3 linked regions of the Caenorhabditis elegans genome follow. The protein of the gene in region 1 interacts with the protein of each later gene in a pairwise test. Each region holds a gene or a part of one and is shown on either strand. Other genes may lie near its edges.

Region 1 (12,307 bases):
TATTTTCAAAAAAGGATTCTGAAATTGTACTTCACTTACTAGAATGTCGTTGTAGCCTGTCCAGCAACTGGAGGTACATTGTCCTTGAATTCATAGGCAATCTTGCACTTCTGTTTCGTCTGCTTGTTGAGCATCGCGTGGAGAAGAGCACACGGTCCCTGACTGCTGACAGCATCTGTTTTCACACAGGAAGATGGATCTATTGCAAAATAGTTTTTTAGTGTTTCTTGCGCGACCCAGTCTTTGGCCATTGCTTTGGAAGCGAGTGATGAGGACTTGACTTCAAATTTCAAATCATTCTCTGAAAAAATTGAAAAACTGTTCTAAATCTGAGATTCTAGTAAAAATACCATTGTGATCAATAATTGTGCATTTTGCCATGAAATATGCTCTTCCGATACCAAGTGGTCTGTCTTCTGCTGGCTCACATTCAATAGTAAGAGTGCAATTTAAAATTGAGCAAATGGTATTGAGACATTGAAGGATTGTCGTATCGTGTCCAAGACGATTACTTGCATGTCTACGGGCAACAGTGGTGATGTCGGCATGTGACACGTTGAACAAGTCACGAAGAGCTTCACGAATGACCATATCTTTCAAAACTCCACGACTTGGTCCCATCTTTGTATATTGTTTATTTTGCTCCACGAATTTCAAAGTGACATTATGCATGGTCTCATTTTTGCGCCAACCACTCTTCTTTTCATTGGCAACGTTTTCTCCATTTGTATCCACTTCTTCTTTTTTGACTTCGACTTCGGGAATCTCTGGATCTTTTGGAACCTCCGAAGCTTCGAAAACTGGTGAATACTTCTCGGCAGACTCAGCAATTATTTTTTGCATTAGATCTAGCAACGAAAGCGCAGATTCAACAGGTGTCAACTGGAGCTTGAGAATTTATAAGTACAGCTTTTGAAAATTTGAATTTTACCTTTGCTTTCTTAACAGCGGAGACCTTTTTCGGTGTCGGTTGATTTGAAATAGCATCAGCCTGAAGCAACTAATATAAAACTTATTAAAACCAATTGTAGTTCGAACGTACATTTCTCTTGTTGTTCTGCCCATTTCCAGAAGCGGCATCGATTTCCTTTTTCACTGGAGCCGCTGCTTTTGCTGCTACACCTTCTTCAAATGGTGTTACATGAACATCCGGACGAAGATCGCGAACAACAAGTTCCGAACATTTTTGTTTCGCTGCTTTCTTGTTGACTGATTCCATTTGAAAAGTGCGTCCGTTTACTTTCAATGTGCAGCAATACTTTTTCGGAACGCCCTCAACCTCAGTGTACCTGAAAAAGTTCAATAATTTGATTGCCTTTCTAATAAATTCAATAACTTACTCTTCAGAAACATCCTTGAACAGCTCATGAAGCAACATCGCTGGGCTTTTCCCAGTCGAATCAAACTTTTTGGGAGCAGCTGGACCCTTGGGCTTATTTTGCTGAAATAAAAACGTTATTGCAATATAAAATAAAAATAATTTCCCACCCTCCAATTTGGTTTGTTTTGGTTGAATGGACCGCCTTTTTGATTGTTAAAAAAACGATTTCCCTGTGGGCCACCCATTTGGTTTTGCGACATTGGTTGCACCCACTCCTGACTCAAAGCGTGCCCTCCGCCAAACGCACCGAAATTGTTGTTACGAATTGCAGATGGTTTTGGAGCACCGCCTTGTTGTCCGTATTTCTGTATCAGTTTCTCACATTAGAAATTCCAAATTGTGATAATTTTTAGAAAACGCTTCTGTTCTTTCAATTAAAAATAAACTATTAGTTTCAACTGGAGCTGTTCTTTAAATTAAAAATAAATATACCTTCTGTGGGAAGGTTTGTGCTCTCTGTTGTTGTTGCATGAATGTTGAAATTGGGTTCATGGCTGCATAAGTATTCTGAGCTTGTTGTTGAGCCTGTTGTTGCTGCTGCTGCTGTTGTTGGCTGACATATTGTGGGAACTGAAAAAAAATAATTGTATTTTCTTCCGAAATTGTTAGTTTTTATCATACCGTGTGGGTAGCCAGCGAGGCAGCGGACTCTGGTTGGCTCCATTGACTTGCCCAGTTGTAATTATTGGTCTGGAAAATTGAAAAATTAATTAAGCAAAATTTTCTAAGCTTTTGAGATAATTCAGCTTAGTGATTTTTTGTATTAGAAAGTTTTTGATATTGTTTTTTAGCTGAAGGATCTCAAACCTTAGGTTTTGCTAATTTGATACGATTTAAGATACAGAAATAAACAATTTTAAGCTAATTTTTGAAAATATCACCGAGAGGATCCAACCCTGGATGATATAAATTTTAATTTATAATAATCATCCAGAAATGCATCTATAACAAAACTTAATTATTGCAAAGTGAGAAAAAGTTCATTTGTATTAGGCAGATGAACTTATTGACACTGTAAACGTCAACAAATGTATTAATTGTCGATGCATACGACAACGCCAAACTATTTGGGGTTCTTCCAATATTTTTAATTGCTTTAAAGCTGGAGTGAATCCTACTTGAGTTTTAATTTGTATTGGATTTCACTCCAACTCTAATCGAGTACCCACAAAAGTTTAGAGTTAACGTACGGAATCGCTGGTGTGATCAGTGCCAGAGCCATAGGCCTGTCCATAACCGAAGTTGTAGTTAGGATTTTGATCCATTTCGTAGTCAAATAAATTACCTGCAGAAAAAATGATGACTAGCAATCGTATGAAGTTTTCGAGAAAAGATTCACACTATTGAAAGTCGTGACATTACCCGGCACAAAAAAACATTTCGAACCGGACAATGAAATTACACGAGAAATAAGAGGGAAGCAGTAAGATCACAGAGTATGCCGCATTGGGAATAATGACAAACTCCACGTTCTTAAGTAGACACAAAATACATTACAATATAGAGGAAATATGCCGAGAGTAGGAAATAAACATACTATTCAGTTGTTCTTTTAAGCAATAGAAGCAACTAAATAGCTAGTTGAAAGACTTCGTGTAGCATTGAGAACAAAAAACACATTCAGAAGAGAAAAGCAAATAATTTTAGGCCCTCTAATTCTAAAAATCCTAGACTAAAAAGGAATGAAAATTATAAAACGTCAAGAACAAAATGGCTTATGACTGAGATATAATGCTCCTCTCAATATGCTATAATTATTGATTAACTGAATTTCCCATAAACTGACATTGCTTTCAATGTTTTGAAACAAAAAGGGCTGTTGCATTGTGAGAATAACACTATTTTTCTATTGAAATTGACAGAAACTAAGCGAATTGTACATTTCAGTGATACATTTACAATTGCGGAACGAAATAATAAGCGAGAACGCAGCAAAAAATGAGCCGAATCGTTGAGCGCGGAACGCGTCGCATTCGAAAAGTCGATAGTTCCATGGAGCGCATTTGCTCTACTGACACGTCACGGAATCTGTGAATAAAGTTTGAAAGAAATGCGTTCAATGCCGAAAACGAAAACTTCGCTCACATTTTAAGTGAGAAAGAATAGCAGCTAAATTGTTATAAATATTCTAAAACATAGTGTTAAAGGATTTTAACTACTTTTCATAATTCTGTTTCGCCCGACTCACACAATTCAAAAATTGAAGTGGTCTCATAATACACGTTTCCCGGATTTTCATGAGTTTTTAAGATTTTATTTGCAATTTAATATTTCTAATCTGCTGTTTTTATCACAAATGCGAAAAATATAAAGTTTCTGATGCTTAAATATTGATTTCGTCAAAATATTTTTTGTAAAACCACATCAGCTGCTAAATAATAAATTCTTTTTATTTTTTTTTTAAAGTTCATATTATTTGTCCAGTTACAATTTATTAGTTGCGAAATTCATATGCAACGTGTCCTTGGACGAGTTTTCAGTCAGACATTTTCTCATGAGTCCAGTCCCGTGTTTAAGCACATGTTGCTGTTTTAGGAAAATCGTGGTAAATAATTGTGTTTCAATGCTCATTATTCGTTTGATCGTTTCTCTTTTAATTCTTTATTTATTGAAGATCAGGACTGTATTTATTCTCTTTCAAAATTGTTAATTTTCAGGAATATTCTACAATGTCGTGGTTTCGGAAATCAGCAAACGACTCACTACTGGAGACAAATCACGGTTTCGTTTTGTTTTATTGGGAACTGTGCTTTCAAACTTTTAACTAACGTTTACTAATAAGTAATATGGATGAACTTGAACTGGAATTTTCTTAAAATCAGGGTTTTATTTGAACATTTAACATTTTTAAATTCGTTAAAATTTTATTCATGACGGTTTGACATGACTTAATTTTTTTCCAGTTCTAGCCACTCCATATTATTTTAATGTTTACTTGCATGAATATTTGAGAAATACCAAAAGTTGCTCATCATTTCTTAGTTTGCTTCTTTCTCCATCATCAAAAAGTCCACCCTTTTCACTTCCTCCCCTCCCATTTTCCGGCTCTTTTTTCACGTATCTCCCCCATCCGTCTGTCCTCTTCTCCAACTCTTCGTGTCTTTTCATGCCCAAAGTCCTACATCGATTTGCGCAGGAAAAAGCCTCCGAGTGCCGAAACAACGTCTTCTTCTTCTTCGTATTTTTCTTGTTTTCAACGCACTGCTCCTCTCGTTCTGCAGTTTTTGTTAGCATCTTCCCCATCTCTTCGTATTTTTTTGCTTCTCATTTCCGTTTTCTCTCCATTTACTTCTTTCGGCCTCTTTTCGGTCCTCCGCTTTTTGTTTTCTGTTTTGATGCCATTATTCCCACGTTATTCTGGAGAACATTTCCATAAACCAAGGAAAGTCATGAATTACTGAAATAATGACAGGATAAGCTGTTTCTTCAGTTTTATCCGAAACAATTCAAACCTTAATACTTTGAAAATTTAATTATTAAATTCAGTGTAATCAAACCCCTGAAATCTGACTCTTTCTCACTTTCGGTATCCTAAAAATGAAAATTGTGTCTGCCCGATTTTTCCTTCGTTTTGTCTGTTATCAGATTATATGTCCCAGCGCGCATGCGTTTTCTAATAGAGTTACATTATTTTTTGTCTAGAGCTTCATGAGAAAAAAACTAAAAATTCTAAAATAAATTTCCTTTCATGTTTCATGCCCATTAATCTAAAAATTACGTTTCGGTCCTTTCCTTTAGAAAAATGGCTCAAAAACCTCCAAATGCATGCTTTTCGCCAAGAAATCGGAGCCGCCACAAACGGCGCGACTTCCACTCAATTTTTCTCCGTTTTCCGAATAATTTTGTGTGCATTTGTGTGTGTCTCGTTGAGGGTGGACGTGTCCATGTATTCGAATTCAATTTTCCTCCTACCATGTTTGTGCTTTCCAATCAGCTCCGTCCACTTTATGGTGTAGCGTTAAATTATAGGATAGAATGGACACTGAGACTTCCTTCCGCAGTTCCTGGGTGAACTTTTTGGAATCTCTTGAGACAATTAACGGTTAAACTTATCTAAGAACGAGTTCGAACATTATCTGGTCTTATTCATCTATGGGTTCTTTTCAGGCCTTTTCTAAAAAACTTAATTTTTTTGTTTTTCTATATTTCGGAAAACCAAAAAAGTCGAAAGCTAATGCGATGCCTCAATTCTCCAAAAAAAAAAGACATTTCTGCGGCTTGTATTATGGAAAAATCGAAATTTTTTTTGGCGACGCCCCTGGTTCATATCATTTTTTTCGGGTACGAAAAATTAATCGAGGTTATTTTACTAATATGATTGCAACAGTTAACGTTTCTCGCTAAAAGTATCACTAACTTTTTTGTTTCATTCACACATTTACCTATTTGTTTGATCAAAGCTTTCCCTTACCCTTTTTAATCCTTTTCAAACAATTTTCAAAATGTATATTATAATAATTCAGACCGCATTCCAGTAGCTCCACCACGCGAAGTGAGAGCACCATCACCACGTCTGCCCCCCAGTTATCAGACGTCCAACGAAAAAATGTTCCGTGTTCGGAAAGCACCATCAGAAGAACACACGTTGGCTAATTATGCCTACGTTAATCGCTCTGATTTTGATGATAAGCAGATCAAGTAGGTTTTGTTATCATTGTATTTAGTATTTAAATACATAATTTTCATTCGCTGGTTTTCGTGTAAAATTGTTTTAATTTCAGGCATGTCCGCGTAAATCCCGGCCCTGCTCACCACTATATTTTTTCGATTCGAAATGATGGCTCAATCAAGCCTGGAGAAATCGCATTCGGTGTTCCACATCGTAAATGGGCAGCTTTATCGTTGGATCAAGAAGTTCGAGTGACACCGTTCACTTTTCAACAATCTGAATATGTTGGTTCAATGATTTTGACAGCTGATTTCAATGCCAAAAAGAAGTAGGGTTTTTCCGTTAAAAAAAGTAAATAAATGATAATTTTGTAGTGTCACATCTGAACCACTCAACGCCGATTTGATGGCCAGAGAATTCTCGATTCAGTTTGGAGGACAAGCTTTTTCAAAGTGAGTTTCTAAAACCGTGAATATTCTATTTTTAATTTATTTTCAGAGGTATGCAAATGGCTTTCCGATTTGAAGATAAAGAGAAGAACAAGACTCACACTCTATCACTTGTTGTCAAATCAATCGAAGGATTTGATATTGGAAAAGCTGCAGCTGCGGCAAGTGGTGCATCCAATACGGACAGTAGTGCCACCAAACCAAAGCAAATTGAAGCAGGAGAACTTTTACCAAATTCAGTTATTGTATTTGATAAAGAGGAAGGATCTATGCTTAATTTGATTGGAAAGAGTAAAGGGTTAGTATTAAGAATTAGAGTCTATTAATAAAAAAACATTCATTTTTCAGAAAATCCGCTTACCGCTCAATCATCAACCCTGACTGGGACTTTCAACAAATGGGAATTGGAGGTCTTGACACTGAGTTTTCTCATATTTTCCGCCGTGCCTTCGCGTCTCGTGTATTCCCACCAGAGTTTATTGAGCAACTCGGAATGAAGCACGTCAGAGGTATTCTTTTGTTCGGACCACCTGGAACCGGAAAAACATTGATGGCGAGACAAATTGGAAAGATGTTGAACGCGAGAGAGCCAAAAATTGTAAACGGACCACAGATTTTGGATAAATACGTTGGAGAATCAGAGTCAAACGTGAGAAAATTGTTCGCTGATGCCGAAGAAGAATGGAGACGGTGTGGAGCAAATTCAGGACTTCATATTATCATTTTCGACGAAATTGATGCAATTTGCAAACAAAGAGGATCTATGGTAAGTATCGAATTTTATAATTGCTAGCAATATGGCGATTATACTCCTTTATAATTTCCAGGCTGGAAGCTCATCAGTCCATGACACTGTTGTGAATCAATTGCTCTCAAAAATGGATGGAGTAGAACAATTGAATAATATTCTTGTAATCGGAATGACCAATAGACGTGATATGATTGATGAAGCTCTTCTTCGTCCAGGAAGATTGGAAGTCCAAATGGAAGTTTCACTTCCTGATGAGACTGGACGACTTCAAATTCTTAAAATTCACACTGCACGCATGAGAGAATACAATAAAATGGACCCCAACGTGGATTTGGAGGATATTTCAAAAAGGACCAAGAACTTTTCCGGTGCCGAATTGGAAGGTCTCGTCAGAGCTGCCCAATCCAGTGCAATGAACAGGCTAGTGAAGGCTGGAGGTAAAGCTCAAGCTGATCCAGATGCAATTGAGAAACTTGCTATTAATTCTGGCGATTTTGATTACGCCCTTGAGAATGATATCAAACCGGTAAAAAATCATTTTTCTATTTATATTCTTAATCCCCAATTTCTAGGCATTCGGACGTTCTGATGAATCGCTGAATCGTTTCTTGAGCCGTGGAATGATCGTTTGGGGACCAGAAGTAACGAAAATTCTTGATGAAGGAAGCCTTCTCGCTGCCACTGTAAAAAATCCTGAAAACAGTGGATTCCGAACTGTTGTGCTTGCGGGTATTATTTTTTTTGAAAAATGGCGGTTAACTTATATACTTCTAACTTTCAGGTGCCGCAAAAACCGGAAAAACTTCATTGGCTGCTCAAATGGCAAAGAGCTCGGACTTCCCATTCGTCAAAGTTATATCACCAGAAGATACTGTTGGATTCTCAGAATCTGCGAAGTGTATGGCGTTGAAGAAAGCTTTTGAAGATGCGAAACGATCAAAGCTCAGTGTTCTTCTAATCGATAATTTGGAAAGATTGATCGGTTGGTTTTTAGATTAATGCATAAATCTTTATATAAAATTATTCAGACTACCATCCGGTCGGCCCACGATACTCCAATCTGGTAATTCAAGCTCTTCTCGTACTTCTCAATGCTCCTCCACCGGCCGTTAGTGTATCGAAACAAATATTTTAGAACAATCGATATTTCTAGGGTCACCGTCTGTTCGTCATCGCAACCTCATCGGATCGTATGTTCTTAAGAGACATGGGACTTATGGATGTATTTGGAGATGTTATTGATATTCCTAAACTCACTACAGCAGGACAAATGATGAATGTGATTCAGGAGAGTAACATTTATTCCGATGATCAACTTCCTATGATTGAACAAAAACTTGCATCAATATGTAGAGGAGAAGGGTAAGAATGTTCGATTTTTATTTTATAAAAAAATATTATTTCAAACAGTGTGAAGCTCAATTTTATTATTAAAAAGTAAACTTCTGATAAAGAAATAATCATAATTCTGAAAACATTACTAATTTATGCTTTTAAATTAGATAATTCTTGATATTAAATGATCAGTTGTGTTATATACATCTTATTTTTTAATATTAAAAAAATCGTTCACAAAATTAATTTTCTTCAATAATTTTTTTTTTCAGAAAATCGTTTTTCTCGAAAAATTTTTTTGAATTGAAACACTCAAAAAATTTTAAAATTTGAATACAAAATTTTGGCGAATCTATTTTTTCCTTTTTTCTTTTGGAAAAAAAGTTTTTTCTCGAATTGAACCCTGATATCGCCCAAAATGTTATCAAATCATCATCTGCAAGACTTGTTTCTGAATTATCATTCCTTTTGGTTCCAATTCCTTAATTCCATTATCCTCTTACAAGCCATTAACTCTTTTTTAGCCGGTATTAGTTGATTATTTTTTCATAAATCTCATTCCAGCAAAATTCTCCTAAAATAAGAATGTTCCAGATTCCATGGAGTCGGTATCAAACATCTTCTCGAATTAATTGAATCTGCTCGTCAGTGTGAAGCCGATTACCGCGTCCCGACACTTCTTAATATGATGGAAGGTCTTGCTCTAAACTTGTACCGTTAACTCTTCAGTTGAACATAGAACTCTAAAAGCTAAGAAATTTATTCAAATTAATTTATTTAATTCTAATTATTGCATAACCCATTGAATTCTCGCCGCAATATTGTGATAATCAATGGATCTCCAACCTCTTTTTTTCAATTTTTTTTTCTTATTCATTTAAATATTTATTTATTCGCAGTCCCTTTGTATTGAACTTGTAACCATCATAGCTTTCTTTATGTGCACTCATTTATTTAAAGTGCTATTCAATTAGCTAAAGTATGTAAGTTTCCATTTCAAGTAGCAATAAAATGGTTTGTATATTTATTGGTGTCCACACTCCACAAATTCTTGATGTTCATTGTTCCCTTTTCTAATCTGATCGTTTGCCTTTATAATCTAAAATCCTATTAGAGTAATCATAAGACTTTGCATAATGTTGCAGAGTACTATTCGGGATTATCCTCTGACTCGACGCACCGTTTTCAGACATCAAAAATTTTTGAAAAGTCCGAAAATCGATCCTTCCTTCGTGAAAGATGACGGCTTATTCTTAAAAATAGAACTAGCATGTAAAAATGCCTACCTACATTCCTTCAGGCGAACCGAAGAAATGTGGTGTATAATTTGTAGTCGAATTTGAGAGGATGATATGAAAAATCGCCCAAAATCCAATTAAATGATGCTCGAGAGGAGTACACGGCCGAGAATCCATAAAACTCGTTTCCGCTCGAAATTCAAATCAGGTGAATGCAGAGGTTGATTTTTCGATCTTGGAAGCTCCATAACTGATTTCTGAGAGGCTTTTCCCAGTTCAAGTGATCCTATGCAGCTAAATTTCTTTTAGAACCTGATTACTCAGGTAAATCAAACCACACAGGCCCAGCTTCAGGATGAATCATTTTAAACTACAGTGTCATTTAAAAGGTGATTGTAAAACAATCCGTCTCTTCAATGAAAGCAGGTCCCTTTTTCCACACTTGTCTTCCCGTTTGCACATATCTTTTGATTCTTTCTTCCCACCCAAGACACACCTATTAATTGTACTTTTTAACCCTCCTGGCACCCCCACGCACATGTCTTGTGACGTCACCAATGTTTAAAGGGCACACATGGTCATGATGAGGGGACGGTAAGGCGGGAGAATGAGGACATTGTGCGCCAATTTCGAAATGATTCGAAACTACTGGCATCGTGCCAAGTGACAATGAGTTCTCCTGTGCAAAATGCCTATGACTCATTGAGGTAGACAAAGGGCAAAAAAGTGCAGACAGTTGGGCGGGAAGAGGTAACACAACGACCTACTGGTACTACTTGAATGAGGGAATGCAGATGAAGCATGACGCAATTTGCAATTGAGGTGCACTTAGAAAGAGCTTCAAGGACAGTTTGGTTACGGTAGATAGATAAAATGGGAGGAGTTACCAAGTCTTTGTTGTGAATGGAGCTTCTACCGTAATCCATCTGAATCTTTCATTGTTTATGAAGTATACGCTGTGACACAAAGAAGATTACAGGATGGAATTCAAAAAAACTCAAAAGCGGCTTCATTAAAGTTCATGTCTAGAAAATGCTTAAATGTTCTTTTTATATTTGAAAGTTTATCCCCAGAATTCTAATATAAGTTGCCATTCGACAATTGATGGGACTTATTAAAGATGAAAAAACATTTTTGTTCACCCTTTGAGCTTCTCTGAAATGTTCTCTTGGTATGCCAGAAATCTTTATCTCGATAATTGCCGAACCGCCCAAATTTTTCGAGTACCACATTTCTATCGATTTTCTGGGTATCACCTCCTTTGAATTGAATTTCGCCGCTTCAATTCCCCTTTTTGATAACTTTTAAAAGACTGGGGGCATTCTCGGTTCAAAGCCTGAGGGTACACTGAAAGTTTGCTGTTTGCGCTAAAAAAATAATAAAAAATAAGTGCAACTTTTTGGTTTTGATCGGAAACGTTTACATACTGATATTCACTTTCAAATCCATAGGGTCAATTGATTAGTAGGCAGTGAGGTAATCATTTCTCCAATCGCAATAGTGAAAATTAGGAGAAATAAAGCTGCTAAACTCACGTAGCTATTGAAACTATAAAAAATCAAAATGTGTGACGGTATGTTCTAATGGGCGTACTTTTAGATTACATTCGCTTGATATGTTACAGATCAAAAAGTAGGAGTTCAGGTGGAACCGAAAGTATAATGATAGATTGAGTGTTCCATCCCAGTTTGATCCCTGAACATGAGGACAATAGGTTTTCCACATTTCACTGTAAAATGTCTGTAATGTAACATTTTCTTATTCGCGTTTTTCAAAGCTTCCAGGGATAGAGCAAAAACAGAGACGAAAAAGAATACTTGTGCGAAGTGTTGATGAAATTGATAGAAACTGGAAAATGATTTGAAAGCTACCCAGTCTGCCTGATATGGTATTTTTGATGCAGTGTTGGGGCGCGAGCAATTGTTAGAAATTCTAAAATAAATTGTTTTTTTTTAATTTTTACTGCACGATTGAAAAACATCTGAAATTTCAGCACGCTTGAGACTCTCAGATATTTACAATATCACAAAATGTAGGCTCAATCGCCTTTTTCAAATCTAATATTAAATTCTACCGAAATTAAACTCAAAATGCTAAACTCAAAAATGGTTAAAACTGAAACTCAAAAACCCAAAATGAGATAGTTCAAAAGTGCGTCGATTAGAGCATTTCGGCAATTATTGAGTTTGTATGGAGTGCTTGTGCTTTTAGCTAATTTTACAACTATTCTGGCCAGCCTGAAAATTCCCCAATGATTAACTTTTTTAATTTCAAAAATTCTAGATATACATAGGTTTGAATATTGCCAGAAACATTCGGTAATCGTCAATTTCAGCAATTTCCAAAACTGCCATAGCTACACCTCACTGTATTTTATTTGATCCGTGTAGTTCTGAAAATCCAAAACTTTCATGTAAATTAATTAATTTTCCATTAGGAATTTCCCATTTTTTCTAACTTCCTATTTTTTTTCGAAAACATGATGTAGTATAATTACAAATTTCAAAATAAGAAAGTTGTCAAACTATGACTCATGATGACAAT
Region 2 (7,968 bases), on another chromosome or scaffold:
ATAGAAACCTTGAATATTTGTTTACCGAATTCAATGTTCCAGGTTGAAGGATCATCCGGACAAATATCGGCTTGACTGGAAAACGGAGAGCATGTTATCGTCAAAACGTCTGGAAATGTGGGCAAATTGTTGGTCATTCCACCATCGATGCATTCCTGAATTATTTTAATTTATTAGTCCATTGTATTATGCGAACACAAAACTCTGAGAATGTGTATTGCGCAAAATGTCTCGTGGCGAAAACTACAGTAATTCTTCAAATGACTACTTCAGCGTCTGTGTCGATTTTTAATGAGAATAACACAAAGAAAAAAAAATCAAAAATTGAGCCCGTAAATAAATCGACACAAAAACTACAGTAGTCATTTAAAGAATTATTGTAATTTTCGCCACGAGATATTTTTGCGCGTCAAATATATTGCGCAATACGTATTCACAGAATTTTGTGTTCCCGTAATAATATAAATGCACCTCTTGATTAATAATTGGTGGAACCCCTTTATATCCCATTGAATACATTGGAATGTAGCAACTGGCAAGAAGGCATGATATCAAATGATCACGACTGTCAAATTTGTTGATCATTATATTTTCCCATTTCTAGAAAACAATTTTTATGAGAGTTTCAAGCGTATTTGTTCTTACTTTCAATTTGGTTATGGAAATATGCAATCTTCCCTGAGCATTTGCAATATCAGTCGGAAGAAAGTCGTCTATGATCTGAAAGTTTCCTTTTTCTTCATCTGAAAAATTAGGGATGCCTACTGTAACTAGTTGTTCATTCAAGTAATATCCAGGAGTCATGGCACCAAATCTTTGAGCATGAACGTGATCTGCCATTGAATACAGTGTGTCGATTGCAGCATCAAGTCTGAGTAGATTTAGATTATTGCCTACTTTCTATTATTCTAGGAAATATGTATTTACTTTTCAGGAGCCAAAGCAAGAATTGCAGCAACTAAACTTCCTGCAGATGCACCAGCAAATCGATCAACTTTCTCTCCAATAGTCTGTTAGAATTTTTACATTTAGTTTTTGAACTCTTGAACTTAATTTATTTTTACTTTTTTTTCTTGCATCAGACGTTTTGCTGCTCCGAAATTGTAAGCTCCAAGAAATCCCGAACCACTAAACGACAATGCCAACTTTGAAACATCTGAAGATGAGGATTTCAAATAAAACAGTTGGTGAAAAATTAGAAATTCGTACCTTCTAGTTTGTTTAGTCGTTTCAGCAAAATAGTCGATATTTTCATAGTTATAGATTTTATATAATAAAAATTAAATCACAAGTGTCTCATGGTAAAGAAGATTTCCAATAAACATGCCACTGTGTTGAAGAAACTAAATAAAAACAAAAGTGACGAATTACAGCGTTGCCCGCATGGAGGAGTTGAGACGATGAATATGTTTTTAATTTATGTGAAAAAGATAAAAATCAATTAACGAAAAAATTCACATGCATTAAACATTTAGAGAAGTGTAAACATTTTAATTTTCACAATAAATGTTTGGTAATTAGATTCTCCGGGAATTTTGCGTCGATGAAGTGGTCATAAAGCGCGCTCTACCGCACTCAGTTCGAATGATGACAATTTCACCGGGTTTTCTTTTTCATTTGCTCCTCGCTTTAAAGCAAACGCTTTCTTGTTGTCAATTGGTGTTCGATTAAATTTCTCAGTTAAAATAAATTTTTCAGAAATCACTGAAAAATGGGAGATCACTATGGATTCTCACTCACCACCTTCAGGTAGTTTAAATTCAATCTCCAGAAAAGTCAATTTTATTTTTATAGCCCATCGGGAAAATTGATGCAAATCGAATATGCATTGAATGCTGTCAAGAATGGGCAACCATCGGTTGGACTGAGAGGTATTCAAGTTTTTGTCTTGTACTGTCGTTTTCAATGGGAAATTCATTTTCAGCTAAAGACGGAGTCGTTCTTGCGACCGAGAATGTCGGATCTGTTCTCACCGATGACCAGCCAAAGGTAGAACAAATCAGCAAGCATATTGGATGCGTCTACAGTGGAATGGGACCAGACTTCCGTATTTTGGTGAAGAAAGCTCGCAAGATTGCTATGGAATACGAAATGATGTACGGCGAGGAAATGCCAACCATTCAACTTGTCACTGACATCGCGGCCGTAATGCAGGAATATACTCAATCTGGGTGAGTTAGAACTTTTCTAAACGCACTCTATTCAGATTTTTCAGTGGTGTTCGTCCGTTTGGAGCATCGCTTCTTATCGCAGGTTGGGACAAAAATCCAGGACGGCCATTGCTCTTCCAATGTGATCCATCTGGAGCTTACTTCGCATGGAAAGCAACAGCACTCGGGAAAAACGACGTCAATGCGAAAACATTCCTCGAGAAGCGCTTCAGCGAGGCCCTCGAGCTCGATGATGGAATTCACACTGCTCTTCTGACACTGAGAGAATCGTTCGATGTTGGCATGAACGAGAACAACGTTGAGGTGGCTGTTTGTAACTCGACCGGATTCCATCGGCTCACCAAGCAACAAGTCCATGATCACCTTGGAACTCTTTAAATCGAGTGATTTCACAATTTTCTTTCTTTCTTTTCTCTAATTTATTCTATGTATTCTCCCATCTATCCGTACCCGGTAGTAATCTCTTTTTGCTACGGTGTTTTGTTGGAACAATGAATCCTTTTACCGTTTTACACCCGACTTTTGAGGTACTTTTATTAAGGTGTATAACCCTATTAGGTTGTTTATCTTGACTGAATTTTCTCAGACTTATGAACAAACTTGTTTTCAGCTATTAATCAAAATGTCTTCAAAACCAAGGTGAGCATTAAAATTTACAGGATAGTGAATTTTAAAAATTTTGAAATAAGAATTCGTTACATTCAAATTTCAGGCATGATTGGTTCCAGAGTGAAACTGATGTCACTTTAACTATCCTAAAACGCGGAGTGCCTCTCGATGATTGCTCTGTTTCTCTATCAGATAACAACACACTGACGGTCAAGCAATGTGATGAGATTCTCTTCTATGGACAATTATCTGGTCAAGTGAAAAAAGATGATCTTACTGTAAAATGCACTGCCGCCAAGGTTAGTTGGGTTGAAATATTATTGTAGATCCATTAGAAACTAGAAAACTAGATAAATGTCTAAACGTCAAGATTTTCTAGTGATCCTCCCAAGCATACCTTATTTATTAAATTATGGTTATTAACATTAAAAACATGTTTTCCGGCCATGGAAAATTGATTGGAATTTGTTTAATTTTAGTGTAGTTTATTTTAACTCGATTGAAACAGTTATTCAAGAATAGTCTGAGAAATTGCGTCTAGTCAGAAAATGCTAGCTATTAATGCTATTAATGCTCTACATTCACCTGAACGAGTTATAGATTGTACCAAGTAAGGACATGTGGCTCAGTGGTAGAATATACCCTTACTACGCATACAGTTGTGGTTCGGTAACGACAGGATGATGAGTCACTCGCTGAGTGACAATAAGCCGAGTGTTAGCGGTTTTTATGTAATCGTGATGATCATTCCCTCAAAAGCGATAATTGTGAACTGACTGTCCGAAACCACAAAAAAAAATAAAAAATTGCGTTCCATAATAACTTGATTGGATTTAAAAACGTCCAGAGCAAAATTTTTGAATAAAACAACTTTTATTTAAAACTTATTCCAGGTAGAAGTTCGACTTCCGAAATTCGCTCGCAATGAACGATGGGCTTCTCTGCTGAAAGACGGACAAGGTGTTGCCGCTTCTGTACAGAGTGTATCACCAAATCCAGAAAGTGCACCAACTACTACTGTGAAAAAGAATTGGGATGCTATCGAGAAACAAGCTGTAAAAGAAGAGGAAGATGAATCGCTGGAAGGTGATGCCGCTGTAAACAAAATGTTCCGTAAGATGTACAACGACGCTTCGGATGATGTCCGACGTGCCATGATGAAGAGCTATTCGTAAATCGTTATTGCCTGAAAACCAAGAGATTATAGTGATTATTTTCAGTGAATCAAATGGAACCGTCTTGTCTACAAATTGGTCTGAAATTGGTCAAAAGAAAACGGAATGTCAGCCACCAGCATGTATGGAATATAAGGAATATGAAAAGTGATGATTAAATTCTTATTTTGTTATATGAACACCGCCAAAAATGAAACTTCATGTCAAATGTTTTGTTTTAAAGTTTAATTAAAATCTCATATCCTCGATATCCCCTTCAGATTCGTTGGTCCCCTGACGCTTGATAACTGCTTTGTCTCTGGAGGTGTATAATTTTTCATAACCATTATGTGGTTCCGGATCTGTTGGATCTGTGGATTGTGAGCTCGTATCTGATTCAAATGGAAGAAAAGCTTGTGATAGTGATGGACGTTTCTTATTTGTCATTTCCAATCTGATGGTATTCATTGTCTCGGTCTTGGCGACCTTTCCAGCTATTTGTTCGATCCATTTCTCCGTTTCGTTTTTCTGCTGGCTCCACTGTTGTTTTACTTGATCCTGAAACGTTATATTACTCAATTGAAGATAATAGCTCTGATCACCTGAATATAGGATTCAATGTCTTCTGCATGCCTCCTCATCTCTTCAAGAGACATATCTTTCAAATCCGGATCTTCAACAGAAACAGTTTGCACTTCAGTGTAATCTAGCTGAAAAGAGCATTCTGGATGGACAATCGTGTTGTGGCATCGCGTGAAGCTCAATGGTGCTGGTGGAGCACGATTTGGCGGTGGAGGTGGTGTACGATCATCGCCCAAACGAATCTCGACATTGCATTGTGCACTAGATGAACCCGGAAATTGATTCGATGACGGTGAGAACGATATCGTGTCATATTTATGACTTCCCTGTGGTCGGAGAGCAGATTCAGAACGATTACGACCATTTGCGGAGAGAATCGGAGGCGAAAAAAGTTGTTCCACACTTGTAGACTGTAAACAGGAAGGAATGTTATTTATTATTTTGTTGTGGACTTAAGTGTACTTTAAAAACATTACAATATTCGGTATGGAACGTAAATATTCTGTAAAATACAAAACTGTTCAAATTTACAATTCTTCTAATTTCGTACTAACAAATTTGATAATACATTTGAGAAGTGTCACGTCACACTGTAAAAAGGTTACTGTGGCTTGCGTCGATTTATGGTATTGCATCATCCTTTTCAACAAAAAACATGAAAGGTAGCATACAAATAATCTCATATGTAGTAATAGCTATACTTACTATTATCAGGTTGTCCCATAAGTTTTTGTACTTTTTTTCAAATATTTTTCCAAAACTTCTAGAAAGTTTTAAAATTTTTTCATCGTAGGTCGTGTCAAGGTCGGGTCGTCCCCTTTCAGAAAAGATTCATTTCATCCATTTCTACTTTGCCACGATGACAATCATCAAACTTGAACGTCGAGACGTTAGATTGCTTCTTCTTTATGAATTTCGTCTTGGTCATTCAGCAATGGAAGCGGAACGAAACATATGCGGTGCGATGGGTGAGGGAGCACTCTCTTATAATACAGCAAAGAGTTGGTTTCAAAAGTTCAAGAACGGCGACTTCAGTCTCGAAGAAATAGAACGTTCTGGGCGACCGGTAGAGTTAAATGAAGAAGACCTAGTGAAGCTGGTGGAGGAAGAGCCTCGTCTTAGTCTTCGTGAAATGGAAGAGAAGCTTGAGTGTTGTCATAGCACAATTGCACGTCACTTGGGTCGCCTTGGTTTTACTTCAAAACTTGGAACTTGGGTGCCTCATGAACTTTCGGCATCACAGAAGCTCACTCGGGTCAACGTTTGTACTCAACTTCTAACTTTTCGTCGAAAGTTCGATTGGCTGAACAATCTGGTTACTGGAGATGAGAAGTGGGTGCTCTATGTTAACCATTCCAGAAAACGTCAATGGCTTCCGATCGGTGAGAAAGGAATACCGACGCCAAAGCCCAAAAAAGATTATGATCTGTGTCTGGTGGGGTGTTCAAGGACCCGTGCACTGGGAATTGTTGCCAACTAATAAAACTATCACTGCTGATTACTATTGTGCCCAATTGGACCGAGTTGCAGAAAAGACCAACGGAAAATATGAAAAACTATATTTTCTTCACGATAATGCTAGGCCTCATGTCGCCAAGAAGACTTTCCAAAAGCTGCAAGATCTTGGTTGGACTGTTTTACCGCATCCACCATATTCTCCAGATCTTGCACCAACCGACTACCATTTGTTCTTGTCTCTCAGTGACTACATGCGCGACAAGCAATTCGACGACGAAGAGCATCTCAAAACTGAACTCTCCACTTTCTTCTCATCGCGTTCGCCGGATTTCTTCTCCCGTGGCATCATGATGTTACCTAGTAAATGGCAACAAGTGGTGGACACTAATGGTGAATACTTGTGTGAATAGTACTACTTGTCGCTTGAGAGAAATAAATTTTTTTCAAAAAAAAAATAGTACAAAAACTTATGGGACAACCTGATAGAAATACTACTTAAACCTTACCATTTAATCAATCAAAAACGTAAGATTTCTAAAATAAAAATAACCACATAAATCGACACTAGCTTCAGTAACTAGCTGTCCCCGTGGTGAGACCAATTCGCTTGAGATAGGGCGAAAAATCCCATTGCATACGTAATACAATATACATTGGAGATTTCAAAGTTAAACATGTACATACCCGATAGCTTGAGCCTTGTTCCCCATAACTGGTCATATTATTCTGTGAGGATTGCCACTGAAAACGTGGAATGTTCGATTGGTGTTTAGCTCCAAAGCCGGCTGGCAATGTTTTATATTGACTCGGTGAGACTCCAGTTGGTGATGACAATGGAAGGGGGGTACGTTCTGGAAATAAGTTGGTATCGTACCAGTCACTATGTTGTTTACAGTTTAATTTTTTTATTTTCGCTGAAACTAATGAGCTAATACTTTTAATACTATTAGTTTTACATAATTACCTCCAATTGATCGAATGCTATCTGGTGCCAGGTACGTCTGAGAATCAGTGGGCAAAACTGATGATGATGGAGGAGAAATGGAAGATAGAGATGGAGCGATATCAGTCGGAACAACTGCCAATTCAAGATCCCTTTTATCAAGGATTCCAATAATTCTGTAACACAAAATTATGAAATGAAACTTATATTTTTGAAATTTCAGGTTTGATTTGGGAATTTCTTTAAGTTGCTCCAGCTGACTAAAAAACAGAGAATACAAAAACCACAACGTTGGTCAAGTTCAAGGTAATTCAAATGAAAACTTCAGGAACACTATAATTTTGGAGGACTTTTTTTGAATTTCATAAGCTGTATTTATTAAATTGTTTTTAAATTTTCTATTTGGAATCTCAAGGAAAATTATTCAAAAAGAGTTTTCACCTATTCGATACAAATTTCTCAAAGGGTCCCACCCAATTGTTGACTTTTTTCTTTTTCATATTATGATTATCTGTAACAGTTCAAAACCAAATCCCTTCTGTTATTGAAAGCCTATTGTAATAACTTCTTTGGTATTTCACTTTTGTAGAACTTATCAAACGCTCCATGTATACCCAAATAAAATTTTATATCAATTTAAAATGACGTTGAGGCAATCGTATTTTATGTCTACGGCATTCACCAAATCAATAACAAAACACATTATATTAATAGTTTGATTACAGTAGCTACAGAAGAGATCAAAAGTTTGCAAAAAAGCGAACTACTAGTTACAATTTTCAAATAAACTTAAATCTGATTTTCTTACAAAAAATGTAAACTCACTTATCATCTTCCATAACAAGAATAAAGTCTGTGTCGGTTCGAACCAATTTATGTTTTGAAACAATCAAATTCGTAGGTCTCGATATCTCAACATTTTGCAGTGAATTAGTCCCAGAAGCTTTCTTTTTCACAAATTTCAGCATACTTCTGAACATAATGCTGATCATAATTGTTGCAGAAATCGAAAAGAGTGACTAATAAAAAACGTTTGTCAGTATCAATAGAT
Region 3 (9,590 bases), on another chromosome or scaffold:
CGAAATTTTCAAGTTAGAGTACAGTACTCTTTAAAGGCGCACACCCGTTTGTATCAAAGAAAACAATTTCGTGTCGAGACCGGGTACCGTAATTTCAGCGCAATGATCACAAAATTGCACGTCAGGATAACATTATTACAGTTTTAAAACGTTTCAGCCTCCACTTCATACGAAAAGTCTTTCCGTTGTTCAAACGGATCGAATTGCAGCACCAGCTGTCAGATCTTCATCAATTTCCAACAAACCATTGTCATATCAAACCAGTGGAAATTCAAATGAGGTAAACCTAGATTTATGATCAATTTGAAAGAAAATATTGGTTCTTTCTTTATAGGAGGATCACTTGAGACTTCCACAACACTCATCATCATCGGAATCGCCACCATCTGAAGGTCCATCGAATAGTGGATTGTTCCGATGGTCATCAAAGGATAAACCGATGACCAGTACTGTCAGCACTGCTAATGGTGTCCGTCTCCCTCCACTGAGCCTACGCCGTCGTACTAACAGTGATCCGAAAAATCGCGATTTCACATCACTGGGCGGCGATGAGTAATACAACTAAATGTGGCAAAGCTTCTTCATTGTTTGAATAATGAAAAACGAATACAAACAACTTTGAAATCAAAACATTAAAACTTACAACATTTCGTTCAATAAAGTATCATCAAAAGAAGAAAACAAAAGCTGAACATGAGAATTTGGGATAAGGAGCAGCAGATCGGAATTATGTGAGAAGCACGCGGAAAACAGGGATATATAAACGGGGTAAACGGGAAAATTTAAGCGTGGCAATCATCTCCTCCAAGTGGCTCTTGCTTGTCAAGTTTGATGAGGTCATCAATACGCAATATCGTAATGGCTGCCTCAGTGGCGAACTTCAGAGACTTGACCTTACTAAGAGCTGGCTCCAAAATTCCAGCCTCCTTGTTATCGCGGATCGTGCCTTCTTCGAGATCCAAACCAGCCCTAAAAAAAGAGTGAATAAACTGACTCAAATTCAGAAAACATGAATTAGACGCTTTTTCTAAGCACAAAACGAAATTTTTTGAAATAAATTATTTTAATTTTATTACATTAAGCTAACATGTAATAACCTACTCTTTAAAAAAAACATTTTCACTTACCACTTGAGGTGTTGAAGTTGTGGGATCAATTGAGCTTTGGAGTGGTACGCGCGGAGTTTTGTCACTAAATCAGTAGAATCTCTTGCAGCATTGCTTGCCAAAACCTTCGGAATGATGAGAAGCGCTGAAGCGAATTCAGCAACAGCAAGCTGCTCGCGAGAAGACAAGGTTTGTGCATAAGTTTCAAGGAAAAGACTGAGAGAAGTCTCAACAGCACCTCCTCCAGCCACAAGTTTCTTGCTTTCCAGAACTCTACGAACAACACAGAGTGAGTCGTGAACCGATCTCTCCATTTCATCGAGCATCACATCGTTCGCTCCACGGAGGATAATGCTGCTGGCAGTACGAGATTTCGGTCCCTTGATGAGAATGAGCTCGTCGTCACTAATTCTTTCTTGAACAATTTCATCGGCATGTCCAAGAAGCGAGGCATCGAAAGCTTCATCTCCTTCCAAAGTAGCCAAGGAAACAGTCAATGTGGCTCCAGTAGCTTTGGCAATTCTCTTCAAGTCTGATTTCTTGCATCGACGAACAGCCATAGCTCCAGATTCGACAAATTGCTTCAAGCACAAATCATCGATACCTCCAGTTGTAAGAACAACGTTGGCTCCGGCTTTCAAAATTTTATCAATGCGGCGTTTGGTAATATCGAATTCTCTGAAAATTCCATAGCTTAAAAAGAAACGAATAGTTTCAACTCACTCTCTGCGAATAGCCTCAAGCTTGGCTGGATCTTCAACAACGACTGAAATACCGAGGTGCATCTTAGCCTTCATCAAAGAGAAATCGAGACATGCGATCTTGGCATTTTGAACACGAAGTGGCATGGCCTGACTGGCAACTGTGCAATTGAGTGCATATCCTTTCACCAAAACTGATTCGCGAGCGCTCTTTCCGTGGGCCTTCAGAACATTGACTGCATTGATAGGATAAGTGACTTTCCCGTTATTTTCCACACGAACAGCTTCCGCGGCATCAACAACCAGCTCTCCGAAGAAATCGGCGTCTCTGAAAAATCAATTTTCTTGAAGCATAGACAACACCAAACTCACGGTCCGATAATCTTACTGCTCATGGAAGTTTTGGCAGCGTTGACAACTGATTGTCTACCAATCGAGTCGGAAGTGAATGAGATGTTTTCACTAATGTACTTGACGGCTTCCTTGCACGCGAGACGGTAACCATTGATAATAGTCGTCGGATGAACTTTTTGTTTCACAAGCTCATCGGCTCTCTTCAAGAGCTCAGCCGCCACAATAACGACAGAAGTAGTTCCATCTCCGACCTCCTCGTCTTGCAGCTGTGCAAGTTCTACAAGCACTTTTCCAGCCGGATGCTCAACCTCGAGTTGTTTCAGAATTGTGGCTCCGTCATTTGTGACAATGACATCTCCAACATCATCGACAAGCATTTTATCAAGTCCGACAGGGCCAAGAGATGACTTCACAATATTGGCGATCGCAACTGCCGCGGTGACTGCAATTAATTAATGTATACTTATATTGAGCTTTCGGTGTTACCATTCTGAGATCTGATGCCTTGTCCAGTAGTTCTTTTACCGGTGAGGGCAAGAATGGAATCTCCAGCTGATGCCATTACCTGAAACACAACCGTATTAACTTAGCAATAGAGTAGGACATTCGATATTGAGTCAAAAAGGGGCTTTGAATAAGCACTCAAAAATAAAAATATACGTAAAAATGAAAATATTTCAGTAAAAATAAAAATGCTTCCAGAAAATCGGGGATCCCTTGAATTCTGAATCAAAATTAAAATTCTTGTAGAATATTCTCAGAGCGCATCGTACTTCATGCATGCTAGAAGGGTAATCGTGCCGAGACCCAACACCAGCTGTCACTAGGGCGTATTTGCAACATTGTTCCCACCCGCGATTTATTGCCGATAAATTAAAAATAAAATTGTTTCCGCTAGTCCTTTGCAAACAAATTTGTTTTTTTTGTTTCCTCTTGTAATTTTTATAAATATTTTATTGGTCTATAATTTAAAATATTGAATTCAGATTTCTAACATTTATGGAGCCGCCATGCACATCAGACTGCAGCCAGATAAAAGTAAGAATTTTGATCAGAATTGTTTTTTATTAAGCCAGTGATTAAACAGAAATAATTTTCTTCCAGGTCTTCTACTATCTCGACGATGAAACGACTCCCTATGTTTCTGTTATTGAAGCCAGAGAAGGAGTAGCGACGCTTGGAAATTTCAAAAATTCATTCACCAAGCGTGGATATAAGTATTATGCGAAGGAACTTGACCCGGATATTCAACGGTGAGTTTTGGCTTTTTTAATTTTTGTAATTATTCTGTACTGAAAAATGTTCAGAGAAGTTAAAGTCGAATTAACAACTGATTCGGATCGGCTGCGCAAATCCCAGAATGGATTTTATGAGATTTTTCTCGTTAGCACTCCAGGATATGGAACTCTTCCTCGAAACAGTGGAACAATGACGCGACCACAGAGAACTGCTCTAGATAAGGTTCGATTTCTGTTATTTTCAAAAAAAACTGATATTTTAAGCGCCGCCGACGAAGTGCAGACTTTGACGCGACTCCGTACTCTGATGCTAGTCTTGCTCCGAGCACCATTGTTAGCAGTGAGTTTTTGCTATTTATGTACTCTTAAAAACCTGTATGAACGTTTTTCAGGAAGAGCAGGAGAGCATCTGGCAGAATTATACACTTCAAATTCAGAGGATCCGTATCAATATGACGAGCATACACGTCGAACAGGAGATGATTCTTCGCTCTACGAACCTCTCGCTGCTCGTGATATGAATAAGATATACGATGACGATAGAAGAAGGAAAAAACAAAAGAAAGAAAGATTCAGAAGACCGTATGTTCCAAGTACTATTAGCTCAGCGACGGAATCAAGTGTTAACAGCGGCCTCCCTCGAATTCTGGAAATTTATCTACCAATGAAAAATGTTCCATATCTGGGACTGAGCGTGTGCACAATTGATGGTCATATATTCGTTTCCGAAATTGCACCAGAAGGTGCCGTTGAAAAAGATGGACGTGTGAACGTTGGTGATCAGATTCTTCAAGTTAATAGAGTATCCTTTGAAGAACTCAGTGGGCCTCAAGCAGTTCGTTCGCTCAGAGAAGCTGCATCCTCCAAAAGGTATTTTTCTACGCATTAGCATTAATTTTTTTTAATTTTTAGACCAATTACTCTTTATATCAGTAAGTTTGCAAGAGGTGCCCCAAGTGAATATGATGATCCACTCGCGTCCATGGCGTCTGAAACGATGCCCCTCGACGTTGGAGTTTGGGTAGAAACCGCTGTGTAAGGGTACCTCGCAAGATTTATTTTCTTAATTTGATACTTACAGGCAGAACACTGAAAAAATGAAAGCTCTGGGTTTGGATCCACAGGAGCAAACGGCAACTACAATTGATGACGGAACTCTTCCATTTACATCGACAGCTTCTGATGATGAGGAGCGAATGCTTTACGATCAACGTAGAAATGGAATTCCAAGAGCTTTGATTGAAGAAGCAGAAAGAAAACGAGAAAATGAGCAAAATGAAAAAATAGAGCAACTCACAGAAATGATTGATCCCATTATTGTTGTTCGTTCTATGGCTCGTCCGGATTCAGGATTAGCTGTCAAAAATCGAAAATGGCTGAAAATTTTGGTTCCAATGTCTTTTATTGGTGAGTACTGAACATTCAAGTATTAGGATCCAAACAATCAACGTTTAGGCCGAGATCTAGTCGATTGGCTCGTTGATCACATGGCTGATATTCATAATCGGAAGAAAGCTAGAATCTATGCTGCGAGATTGTTAGCTGCTGGTCTTATCAGACATGTCGTCAGCAAGTTGACATTCACAGAAAAGTGCTACTATGTATTCGGTGATGGAATTCTTGGCAATGATCGTAATTCCACGGACACCACTGGTACGAGTGGAACTACAATGCGAGTTGAAGCAACTACTGAAGTGACGTATGTTGGCTCACCAGCACCACATGCTCTGGCAGCACGAGTTGGAAGAAATATTCCTCATCGATTAGAAACCACTACTCTAAGCCCAGTTGCTCATGACCAAACATGGCTTCGAAGACGTCGAGATTGTGAGAGTCCTATGACAAATGATTACGCATCGATGGTCGGAGAAAGCCAAATTGGAATGAATCCAGTCGGAAATTATCATGTTTTTGGGACGAAAAATAATCACCGTCAGGTACCGGCACCTTCTCAAGTGACATCCTCAAGCTTGACAAACGGTGAGAAAATTAATCGTTTCTATAGGGTGCAGGAGTTAAATTTGAAGCAAATATTCATTTCAATTGATATAGTATTTGCTGTTTCTTGACTACTGTACCCTTTGTATCCAAATGACTTTTCACATAACAGTATTTCCCCAACCAAATTAGTTACAAATTCCAGGAAGTGGTGGCTTAGGAGGCCCTCCGCCGACTCCTCTATCCAGTACTATGGTTCTAGCAGCTTCTCCGATTCAGTCGCAGAACGCAGTCAACCACGATTTCGACGGGGAGAACAGTAGCAACAGCAGAACGCGTATTTTACGGACTTAAAATTTAAAACTCATTGCCTTTACCGATTCTCGCCTTAATTCCCACATGCTTTATTAATATTTAAAACTATGCCCTGTTTTCATGTATTTCAGTAAGACTAACGTTTTCATTCATTCATGTAATTTTGAGTCTATTTATGAATTATTTTAAATTTCTTCATGACGATGTTCACTTCGAAAAACGATGTGTGATGAAGAAGACTTGGACAGCACCGAAGATAGTTTTAGACATCCATTCCGAGTAGTATGCAGTATCCTTCGTAGTATCCCAGGAGCACATGTTGGCCGTGCAAATTGCAAGATTATCGGTTTTTGCAGAAATAGTACAATGAACCAAAAACTTTTTGCTTCCATTGAGCTTCACTAAATTATCCGAAATTGTTTGGATCATCTTGCTCATCCAATCAGACATTTTGAATGGAGAATATGGAGTTTTACCAATTATTGAATCAAATGATTTTTGAATAATTAAATCAATTTCTTGTTCTTCGGCATTTGAATAGACTTTCTTTTTGAGTTTCTTATTTTTCTTTTCAATCAATTGTCTCAAAAGCTGAGCGTTTTTTGATTCAATTTGCCGCTTTGCTACAGAAGAAGTTGTAGAAGTGTCTAAAATTTCAAATGATGTTGCATAATGTGACAAAGAAAACTAACCTGTCATTTTGAAACAAGGAATGAATGAAATAATTAAAGTTATGCGATAAACATTTGTTTTCTAAATTTGATATATATATTAGAATCTGGTATAAATTTTTTTAACAGTGCGTGTAATTAGAACACGCTCTGAAGGCGAAGTGTTTAGTGCCAATTCAAAATATTACTTACAATTAGACCCGAAAATTTTGCGCTTTTTGTGCCAAAAACACGGTACCTGGTCTCGACACGAAACATTGTTTTTAAATGCAAAAAGGTGTGGGCACAGCATCTCCGACCGGGAGCGAAAAAATTAATTTTATTATAAAATGTGTTGTTAAGTTTTTGTTTTGTTTCCGCGGCTCTGTACCAGATTTTACACTAAAAGTGCACCAGTTTGGAGCACCGGACACACAGAAATTGTGTAATGTTGATGGCGTTCCGTATCCGAAATTGACATGTTTGCAGGGGTCGGTTGAGCTAACAAAGGTGGGTGGTGGAAGACGGAAATACGGTTCGAAGGAATAGTGGGGGGAAAGCTGACTGATTAGCTTGCCATCAGTGATTTACGGAAAATGTTCTGCTTCCTACTATGATTTCCTCATAATTTGAAATTTCATTAACTCTTAAATGTTTACTTAAATGTGATGCGAATTACTCAGAAAATGCACAGTTTTGGAAATGTAGCAAGTGACCAAAACATTTACTGAAAAAAACCTTCACCTTTGAAGTTCCTCTAATATCCAAAAAGTCATCATCAGTCCAATAGACAAAAAGTATTTCCGGTCCGTCATGGCAAGTTTGCCTTTCTCATCACAAACACTTTCTCTCATCCTTTAATTGTTTGTAGATGAGCCGGTCATTAACACTTATCCCTCTTATATCTATCATTCAATAAATCTTTTTGTAATATGCGCACCTCAATAATGTCTACAGACTCTTGATCAAGGTTTGTGGAACGTTTCTTTCTGTTTCCATTCAAACTATTTAATTAGATTTCCTGTAAATTCTGGAATGGAAAAATTTAACTTCATATTCAATTATAACAATGAAAATTAATTTAAAATGGCTTTGTGCAACTTCTTGAAAACAAATTGGAAAACATAGTTATTTTATAGTGAATGCTTTATGTATGCACCTTTATTATATTTCTTTTATTAGTCTTGTATCCTGTTTGCTCTACTTTGACAGCTCTCATGCCGGTTATCTTTGATTTTGTCAAAAGATATTTAACAGCAAAAAGGTATCACATATTTTTCTATATTTTCATAGTCAATTTTTGATATATCGAAAGACAATCGAGATATGAGCTTTCAAAGTAGAGCAGTGAGTTATAGGAAAAATACGGATCTTTTCATAAACTGATCGGATCTGAATTTCCCATACGGAAGCGTCTCTAATCTTGACTCTATTTGACACACAATCATTCAACAGATTTCTTTATTTAATTTTCAGAAATTTCAGATAATATGTCCTAATGGCCTCATATATTCTAAACGCACTTACACTTCGTCACGACCATGACGCAGCTGAACGAACATTGCACCATTTTTGGGATACGGTACGTGAAGGAAAAGTTCCGGTCTCTTTTCGTGAATGAAAAGATTATTTCCACATGATTGGAAGGGTCATTCCCGTTACATTCGTTTTTGAACGGAAAATGAAATTCAAAAAAAAACAGCTGAAGATGACCTAGTCTCGCAAATTTCACCTTTGCATGATAGGATCTAACGAGTGTTGGGCATTTTATTATTGTTATTAATATTATAGACTTACTTTTATTATAAAGTTTTTATAGTAATGAATGACTTTATATTCGATTTAGGTGATGTAAGTTTTTAATGATTAAATTAAAAATTTAGAGTTTATCTAAATTCAGTTTACATACTTCAGAAAGATCTTCTGGATTCCGGGTTAATTGAAGAACATATTGCAAGTCAACCCCTTTTGGCTGCAAGTTTATTTTCTTTAATTTCTTGCTCATTTGGTCTTGTTATCTTTACAATCGTATTCCTCACATGTAGGTTTCGAGGGCGATGTGGATCACAAAAATATCAAGTAAGGTTTCGAGGATCCCTTCTTTTAATATTAATATTTCTAGGAATATCCTTCAAATTCCAACACTTATGCAATATATCTTATGTTATTTTTCATTTCCTGGCTCATCGTCACATCAGCTTCTGCTTATTTTGTTCTCGCTGGAATTGGATTTTGGAGTGAAAAATTGGATGCAAAGAAACCATTTGCTAATGCGTCTCTTGTGGTTTTTTAGACATTTACTCATTTCAAAGTGAAACGTTTATATCCTAATTTTCAGAGATTTTCGAGAAGCACTATCAGTGATCTATTTGCTAATTATGATTATCATGGAGATTTTGAAAACGTTTCTGAGCTGCCCAAAAGTGGGCTGAAGAGAATTCATATTGTGAGTTAGATCCAAATAAAATATTTTTAAATAACAAAACTTCCAACTAAAAAACTATGTTATCAAAAATAACTTTCTTGAAATCTACAAAATCTTTATTCAAAATGTTCATTTTTATTTCTTTCAGAGTAGAAAACCACTTCAAACTTTTCGAAAAAGAATTGAAATTCCCATTCGACCACTGGCCGAAGTTACATTTTCTGGAACATCTGATAAGTTTATTACAAAGAATCGACCAATTATTGATTCAAATTTGAATAAAGTATCAGATGAAAAAGAAGAAGTCGATGACATTATTGTAAGAGATGTTTCTTAAAATGTATGACTTTTCCAGTTTTAATTTCAGAATTTGAGTGGGGACCAAGAGGAAGTTTCAATTCAAAATATGCATCAGCCTACGAAAAAAATTTTAGTGAATCATAAGGATCAACTTTCTGAAATTCCAAGAATTCCTCAAGTTTTTCAAACATCAGATAATTCTGAAAACCTAGATGGTATAGAAGATTCAACAGAAGAACCAGAAAATTCTACAGACAATGAAGAAGCTGAGAATCAATCGAATATTCTTGTGGTGAATGGAGAAACAATGACGATTGAGGAAGAATCTGATTTGATTGATGACGTGGAAAGCGAGGAAACGACATCCACAACTACACCAAGAACAACTACTACTACTACTACTACTACCACAATCACAACCACAACGTCAGCTCCTACAACGATTGCAACTTCTACGCCTATATCCACAACATCAAAAGCCACTACATCCTCAACTCAGTTGTTCCAAGAAGTAACCTGGAAACAAATTGAGGAAACTGATTCCGTGAGTTTTCAATTTTAAA

What was found.
Region 2: the proteins of nsf-1 (region 1) and pas-2 interact in binary tests that used the Caenorhabditis elegans proteins (3 or more experiments, as listed by UniProt).
Region 3: the proteins of nsf-1 (region 1) and mig-5 interact in binary tests that used the Caenorhabditis elegans proteins (3 or more experiments, as listed by UniProt).

The regions. Positions count from the first base shown.
Region 1 is NC_003279.8:7,763,777-7,776,083, reverse strand, and holds nsf-1 (Vesicle-fusing ATPase), read left to right. Parts: upstream 1-3,852; 5' UTR 3,853-3,875; coding exon 3,876-3,926; intron 3,927-4,038; coding exon 4,039-4,102; intron 4,103-5,844; coding exon 5,845-6,019; intron 6,020-6,102; coding exon 6,103-6,318; intron 6,319-6,364; coding exon 6,365-6,442; intron 6,443-6,488; coding exon 6,489-6,737; intron 6,738-6,787; coding exon 6,788-7,205; intron 7,206-7,266; coding exon 7,267-7,716; intron 7,717-7,762; coding exon 7,763-7,919; intron 7,920-7,971; coding exon 7,972-8,172; intron 8,173-8,218; coding exon 8,219-8,298; intron 8,299-8,343; coding exon 8,344-8,552; intron 8,553-9,119; coding exon 9,120-9,246; 3' UTR 9,247-9,552; downstream 9,553-12,307. Other genes in the region: A-to-I RNA editing regulator adr-1, read right to left, coding at 40-301, 351-888, 932-1,000, 1,043-1,289, 1,341-1,441, 1,489-1,686, 1,814-1,951, 2,003-2,071 and 1 more. UniProt on the Caenorhabditis elegans protein: Required for vesicle-mediated transport. Catalyzes the fusion of transport vesicles within the Golgi cisternae. Is also required for transport from the endoplasmic reticulum to the Golgi stack.
Region 2 is NC_003283.11:10,768,670-10,776,637, forward strand, and holds pas-2 (Proteasome subunit alpha type-2), read left to right. Parts: upstream 1-1,698; 5' UTR 1,699-1,711; coding exon 1,712-1,749; intron 1,750-1,794; coding exon 1,795-1,871; intron 1,872-1,924; coding exon 1,925-2,171; intron 2,172-2,215; coding exon 2,216-2,549; 3' UTR 2,550-2,682; downstream 2,683-7,968. Other genes in the region: D1054.1 (PNPLA domain-containing protein), read right to left, coding at 9-155, 472-600, 646-720, 766-871, 928-1,010, 1,065-1,156, 1,210-1,255; D1054.3 (SGS domain-containing protein), read left to right, coding at 2,794-2,810, 2,884-3,079, 3,674-3,951, 4,001-4,106; D1054.5 (CBS domain-containing protein), read right to left, coding at 4,184-4,492, 4,537-4,926, 6,659-6,825, 6,939-7,093, 7,743-7,909. UniProt on the Caenorhabditis elegans protein: The proteasome is a multicatalytic proteinase complex which is characterized by its ability to cleave peptides with Arg, Phe, Tyr, Leu, and Glu adjacent to the leaving group at neutral or slightly basic pH.
Region 3 is NC_003280.10:8,178,579-8,188,168, reverse strand, and holds mig-5 (Segment polarity protein dishevelled homolog mig-5), read left to right. Parts: upstream 1-3,145; 5' UTR 3,146-3,160; coding exon 3,161-3,199; intron 3,200-3,265; coding exon 3,266-3,414; intron 3,415-3,468; coding exon 3,469-3,622; intron 3,623-3,663; coding exon 3,664-3,739; intron 3,740-3,791; coding exon 3,792-4,269; intron 4,270-4,311; coding exon 4,312-4,434; intron 4,435-4,480; coding exon 4,481-4,806; intron 4,807-4,854; coding exon 4,855-5,379; intron 5,380-5,529; coding exon of another isoform or gene 5,530-5,542; coding exon 5,543-5,691; 3' UTR 5,692-5,846; downstream 5,847-9,590. Other genes in the region: T05C12.8 (ANK_REP_REGION domain-containing protein), read left to right, coding at 158-280, 335-556; cct-1 (T-complex protein 1 subunit alpha), read right to left, coding at 783-969, 1,128-1,784, 1,830-2,135, 2,180-2,603, 2,648-2,723; dylt-3 (DYnein Light chain (Tctex type)), read right to left, coding at 5,860-6,299, 6,345-6,351; T05C12.4 (uncharacterized protein), read left to right, coding at 7,801-7,884, 8,217-8,381, 8,425-8,586, 8,641-8,748, 8,876-9,046, 9,095-9,571. UniProt on the Caenorhabditis elegans protein: Plays a role in the signal transduction pathways mediated by multiple Wnt genes. Functions redundantly with other dishevelled family members throughout development.